2 linked regions of the Tribolium castaneum genome follow. The protein of the gene in region 1 interacts with the protein of each later gene in a biochemical or structural test. Links are inferred from orthologs where the notes say so. Each region holds a gene or a part of one and is shown on either strand. Other genes may lie near its edges.

Region 1 (3,703 bases):
ACCTCATACCGAAATTTCAAACTAATTTTTGTAATGTTACAGTTCTTCCAAAATACACGATTCGATTTGTATTTAATGTATTTTGCTACAAAAAAGTTTTTAATAGAAACAATCATTTAAATTGAAGTAATATTTGTAAAAGTTACATACTATGCCTTGTAGGCAATAACATAAAATACTGACGTGTACAACTGCTGCTGAATATTTTTTGAAGGATATTTTTGTAGTTTCTGGCTATTTCAAACTATTCGTATAAAGTGAAAATAAAGTCTAAAAATTTTGTGTAAAGTGTCCCGTCAGTTATGGAATGTCTGAATAATAATTAATGTTCTATCTGCCTGATATTTTTTGGTTCAGTTTCATTTTAATATAGTTTTTTTGTCGTTTCGCATTGAAAGTGCGCAAAAATCGGCTAAACTCACTTCAACTGTCGGTAGTAGGACGAAGAGTTGTGCAAAATTTCCCTCATTCGGAATAACGTAATATCGCCGTATTTCAGCTGAAGGCCGGTTTGCCAAAGCACCCATTCAGCCTTCAAATCTAGCAACTTGACCAGATCTAAATCCTGCGCCACCTCTTTCGGGAGAATAAAAAATGATCGTATAATATCAATAATAGTGTCGTCGGCCAAAATTCGTGAAATAAGTCGTGACCAAAACCCTGACGGGAAGTACGACATTAAAAGCAGTCGGGTGATTGATTGGTCAGTTGACGAACTCGTCACTTGATACTTTGCCTCCTCTTCAATTTCTTCTAAAATTTGAGAATAAAACCCCCAATTTTTTAACATTGACCAAACTGACCACTTTTCGAAGACGAAGTCGAAGGCAAACTCATTTGAAACTTGCCCTGGGCGCCCGTATCCCGGTACAAGACCGATTTTGGCGAAACAGTTATTTTTTTATTCCTGATTGCCCATCCGCGTGACCTTAGCGGCACTTTAACCTTGACTAAAGGGTGAAATTGGCCGGGGTATAACTGCGCTAGGAGAATATCCTCTTCCGAGGGTAGAAGTGACGGGATTAACAAAGTGCGGGAATCCCAAGTTAGCGCAACTTCGAATTTATTCAACAAATTGACGATATAACCACGCGCATCCATTGGTCCGATACTACTAGCTTTAAAAATGTGCTTGAGATCGTCAAGTTTCATGACACCGGAGCGCGCAAAAGGATTAATCTCACGAATGGTAACAACATGTGCTAACATATCGCACAGCCACTGGGGGTCCAAAAAGTAGAGATCTTTCAAAGTTGCATCGTCGTAATGCAGCAAAACACCTGCCATAACCATGAGAAATGAAAAATTAAAAAATTAAATAAGTACCATTATCGTGCAAAAATAAGGTGGCTTGGTGGAGCTCAGCCCAGTCCCTGAACACCCGATTGAACCGTTGCTGCATTTCCGTCGTTACAATAGTCCGGTACTGTTCGGCATTCAGGACCGGGTCAAGCCCATTGACCCGCCGTTCGGCCGCGATGTGATTAACCACATCCTCTAATGCCAAGTACGTGGCCGGTACTTTTTGTTCCAACAACAATTCCTTGCTTCCTGGTGGCCGTAAACTGAACACGGTGTCGTAGATTAAATTACACAGCAACTTCACGTTGTGTCTAGTCCTGCAGCTGATTTCAATCGTGTCCAGAACTCGAGGCAAGCCGCATTTTTCCGCATCAACAATATTGATAAACTTGTCGCGAATTAATTGCTGGTACTCTTCCGAGATGTTAGGGTTACATTCTTGCACCACGTCGTAGTGTGTGCCGACTATGATTACAGGAGAGTTTGGTGCCCGGGCTTGGATGTTAACAAGCCATTGCAAAATCTCGTTGATGCCGCGATGGCCGTCGGTTATTCGCCAAACGACCAAATATAAGCTTCGTTTTGATAAAAAGTACTGATGGGTGGCGTAATATCTGGATTTGAGTGGTAATAAAAGTGGGATTGAGGTGTTTTAACACTTACTCTTTTTGTCCACCAAAATCCCACGTTCTGAAAATTACAGGACCGTGTGATGATTGATTACGGACTTTTTTTTCATACACCCAATCGCCGATATCTACCCCAACTGTTGACATATTTGTGCCTCGAGAGGTTTTTACGTTAATATTTTTGTTTCCCATGCGTTTGGCCCAGTGCTGAAAATGGGCAACTTTGGGTAACACTTTTCACTTTACTCAAAATAAATGAATTCGTTTTACTTCAAGTGTTTAATGAGTAATTCGTAAATACCCTGACCAGCATTTCTCCTCCCTTTATTTTTTTTATTTATTTAAATACGTTAAAATTAACGAATAAATGAATATAAAGCTCCGTAAAAATTATATTAAACTGAGCTGGTCGATTTGAAATACGTATGGAGATGGCTTTAACTTAGAAAACATTAAACCAGGAAAAAATTTTCATTGTATTTTAGTCAAGTTCTTAAATAATTATACCTAGAAAACGTTAAAATTGTTTAATGAAACTTGAATATAACAACAGAATTGTTGTTATATTGTCGTCCACCCAATACAATAATTTAAAAGATGTTTGTTTACAAAATTTTGGATCAGCCTTTGTTTGCTTTATTTCTCCTTTTGCTGCGATAAGTTACATAAACAGATTATATTTTTTGTTAATGACGATTTATTCATAGTCTTACACAATTAATGATCTGTTTAATATTATTCAGTTTGTCACTTGCTGTTGTCGTAAACAGACACATTTCTCTATGTTGGAAACATAAACCATGTCGTTTTGTCCAATTTTATTTTCAGTGATCAGGGCGTGTTTATTTCAGTGCCCGTTTTTTAAAATTTCGAGTGGCTAGTGCTAGTGTGTGCCAATAAAATGGATCTTCCAGGGGGAAATAAAAGAAATAATCTGGATTAAAGAGTTAGTTTTCTTTACGTGCTTCTTTAAAAAGATAGATTAAATTTAAAATATTTTAAATTCAAATAATGGCACATCGTATTGATTTAATATTTCTTTAATTTCAGTAGGTCCGTTAAAGAAAATGAAGCTAGCTACAAACGGTAGCAGAAATAGATGCCATAAGGTGACTCCAATTTTTCTTCCTCTTATCATCAAGTGTTACATTATGATTATTTAAGTACAAGTGCAGTTTGGATAAAAATGAATTACGTTGTAAATAAAATCTAGTTCAATATTAAATTATTAATTTATGAAAATCGGAGAAGTAGCAAACTGGGAGCGTTAAAAAATATTTGGTTAACTAGAGGTAACCGAAAATTTAACTGACCTATATGACACCTGAACACGTGCCGTCATTGTTATTAATTTTTCTGTTTAATTTACACAATCACAAATACTTAGACTTTTTATAAATAATTTTTAAAAAGCGTGATTAAACGAAAAAGTAGAAAATTGTCTCAGGAAATATTTGCTGGTCTTGGACTTCACTAGGCTAGACTTAAATTGAGTTTTTCTCGAATGAAAACAAAGTTATTGCGCAGTTTTACCTCTGGCCGTTTCCTCGTTATCCCTTCCTGTCGCAACTGTTCCAACAAGCTCGTTTTCCCAATTCCTTGCACTCCCACTATCATTAATTTCATGCGAGCGTAAGGTCTCGCATCCTCAAGCACCGATTTCAAATAACCCACAATATCCATTGTTTTGTACTTTTTACTATCAATCATCGATTTTAACGGATCTTGTAAAGAACAACCGCGCGTGTTGAGATTCCATAAGCGCGATAGTA
Region 2 (3,133 bases), on another chromosome or scaffold:
AAATTGTCTCATCTGATGTAATCGGCGACTCGAGATCTTCGATTTTTGATGCAGGGGCTGGTGTGGCCCTTACTCGAAACTTTATCAAGTTGATCAGTTGGTATGATAATGAATGGGGCTACGCGTGCCGTGTTGTTGATTTGTTAAAGTACATGTCGTCGAGAGAGTGTGATAATTAAAATAAATTATTTTTTGAACTATGAGCCGACCTGTTTGTTAGCGCACCTTGCGTTTTAGTTTTTTAATCGCTGGAGCGGCCACGAGTTAGGTAAAAAGAAAGGTAAGTAAGTGGAGGTTAGTGTTTGTAACGAGATGAGTTTAATTTACTTACTATTAATTAAATTATTGAGTCCACCTTTTTGGTGTCGATTGTATGGTGGCAATTTTAAATAATACAATTTCCGGATATTAGTTCAACAAACTGTGCTAAATAAATCCTTATCGTTGCGATAGCAGTTGTTAGGCAAATAAATAAAACATCCCATTTTTTCTGAAATTTTATTACGAAAAGCATTAAATAATACAAAAGAAAATAATAACAAATCTTAAAGCGGGCATATGTCCTCCCTTTGTTTGCGTATAATTAAGTCGTTGTGCGACTTATCACCATTGTAAAATCCCTTATCAGTTGTCAATTTTCTACGTTTTAACTTTTATAACAATAAAACTCAATCTTTTGATCAGATAATACAAGATCAAGTCTGACTTCGAGTATCCTCTCACAATACAAAAAAAAACTAAACTAGAGAAAAACGTAAAACTAAATGTCGATTTGGAACTGGTGTTCGTCGTGCGAATCTTCAATTTTCGCTGAGTGGTTTTTGGTCGGAGGTGAAAACCGTCTGATGGGGGCGCTTCCATTCGTTTTGCCTCGCATCAAGTTTTCAGGGATTCCGTAACTTGGAGGAGTTTTCGAAATGGGAGAGTTGCGTAAATTCATTAAGAATGCCTTCTCATAGACTATTTTCGTACCTGAAACATGATTCATACGTAAAAATAAGGTTCTCCCGTCGAGAGGCTTCTTCGATAAGATATAGACAAGAGATGAGTACAATTCAGATCCAAGGACTTTTTATCGTGTTGTTTTGCATAATAAACATCAATGAATTGTGCATTTGGCGAATTTCTTAAAATCAAAGACGATGAAGCGGAAGAAATGTGGAGCGACGAAAATAAAAAGCCTTGACACTAATTAATAATAACAAAAGCAAAAACACAAGAACACGAACGTGCGTCTGGTCAAGTTCTCCCGACTTATCAGTGTTGGATTAGGTCAAAGGAATTTTTTGTGAATTTTTGAGGGAAATATTTGCAAAACTGCGTATTTCGCAGCTTGCCAGAATTAACTCATGTTTACTATTATCACCAATGTTTACTCAAGGTCACATTATAAATTCTCCACGTGTAGACAACGCTCATCCGAGTCTTGTTTTTTTTTTAAGTATAATTACATAAGACCACGATGAACTCTAGTCGCGCAGATAACAAGTGGCAAATTGATTATTTATTTATAAATTTATATGTAGATGACTCAAAAAAACATAACAAACCTCCCGGAGTAGTGGAGTAGAGGGTGCCTCCTGGTGTGGAGGAGTAGTGCGATGGCAGTTCAGAAGGGTCGTTGATAAGGACTTTTTTGGTCGGAATGGCCTTACTTTCGGTCACTTGTCTTGCCATCGGTGATGCCGACATGTCGGAGTGGAAAAAAACACGTGCTTAATACTCGAAAACAACAATTTTGTCGTCGCTCACTCAAATTATATAAGGAGCGCTAATCCCCTCCCAAACTGTGCATTTCTCCCACTTTTAAGCTGAAAAATAAACAAATAAACGCGCTTTGGGGGGGATCTTGAAAAGCTTTAAAATTTTCAAGTTGAAACTTTCAACCACCTCCAAGGATTTATTTATTATTGTTGATTAGCATTCAGTCAAATGCGTATTAGGTGCAGGTTTTTTCACATAAATTATGTAAAAAAATGCGTTGTTTGGGATTGTTGGCTGGGTGTGAATTGCGGAACTGCGTTATCAATAATTATTTGATTTCCTCCAATGGAGGAGCAAATGTGAGTCACCGAGTTCGATTGTTTGAGTCGTGCTTCATAAATTTCAGGTATTTGTACGCATCGTTAACCCGAAATCGATTTATTGTTTGATTTACTTTAATACTTGTGGGCATCTGAGACTATTTTTTCATAACCAACCTAGCAAATAGTTTTTTTCACTGATCGAACTATATATGACTCAAACATAAATAAATAAAAAAGAAATCAGTCCCGTACGAATAATAAAGGTCAATATTTTGAAAATTCGTAAACAGAAACGTCAGGAACTAATAAAAACACAAGTAGCAATTATAAATAACGGATTTTATTGGACTGATTTATAAATGTACCCCTGTGGCAATATCAGAATAATTTATCGGATAACTGTTTCAGTTTTAAGAAGACAGAGTCACTTTTCATGATAAACAAAAGCGATAAATAAAAGTTTAATGCCATACATTTATTTGCATTAATTATGAAAATTTGAAAACCGCGCTTTTTATATAAACAGAATTTAAAAAGCCAAACTCTTGCAGTGTAATTTTCGTAGCCTTAAATTTTCCCACCTTTGTGAATTTAATTACCAAAGACATATTGTAAATTCTCCAATTTAAGCAGAAAATATTGACTCAACCAATCTGTCAAATGTCGGTATTCTAACCATAAAATTAAAATAAGCAAATCTTAAAATGTGGCGTAATTCACTTCGATTTTTGGTAAAGTTGCCTCAGCAATCCAAGAAACTTGCTGTGCAGTCCTACAAGTAAGTATTTATGTAAGAAAGAATAAAAAGTGAGGTTATATGGTTGTAGTTCCCTTCAGTGGGCCCCTTTCCGAGACAGTGGACTCCAACGCTTTATCTCAACCACTCCAAAGTTATCAATGTTTATTCAGACTCAAGAGACCCCAAATCCAAACAGTCTCAAGTTTTTGCCAGGGGTTAAAGTTCTAGAGGAGGGCCAAACTATAGATTTTCCTAACGGACAAGCGGCTTATTGTTCACCTTTGGGAAAATTACTTTTCCGAATTGAAGGTGTTAAAAGTGTTTTTCTGGGACCGGAATTTATCACTGTTACTAAAACCGATGATGA

Evidence for each region. The genes of interacting proteins can lie anywhere in the genome.
Region 2: of the proteins of Lrrk (region 1) and Thor, one has a biochemical effect on the other in vitro, tested with the Drosophila melanogaster proteins (2 studies listed by BioGRID). The link is inferred for Tribolium castaneum from reciprocal best matches to the Drosophila melanogaster genes Lrrk and Thor.

What each region holds. Positions count from the first base shown.
Region 1 is NC_087397.1:4,499,726-4,503,428, forward strand, and holds part of Lrrk (leucine-rich repeat serine/threonine-protein kinase 1), read right to left. Parts: coding exon 3,465-3,703; intron 2,139-3,464; coding exon 1,966-2,138; intron 1,917-1,965; coding exon 1,327-1,916; intron 1,281-1,326; coding exon 804-1,280; intron 754-803; coding exon 423-753; intron 1-422.
Region 2 is NC_087399.1:195,853-198,985, forward strand, and holds Thor (eukaryotic translation initiation factor 4E-binding protein), read right to left. Parts: upstream 1,761-3,133; 5' UTR 1,693-1,760; coding exon 1,551-1,692; intron 973-1,550; coding exon 761-972; 3' UTR 546-760; downstream 1-545. Other genes in the region: glyceraldehyde-3-phosphate dehydrogenase, read left to right, coding at 1-179; NFU1 iron-sulfur cluster scaffold homolog, mitochondrial, read left to right, coding at 2,732-2,805, 2,855-3,133. UniProt on the Drosophila melanogaster protein: Repressor of translation initiation that regulates eIF4E1 activity by preventing its assembly into the eIF4F complex. Hypophosphorylated form competes with eIF4G1 and strongly binds to eIF4E1, leading to repress translation.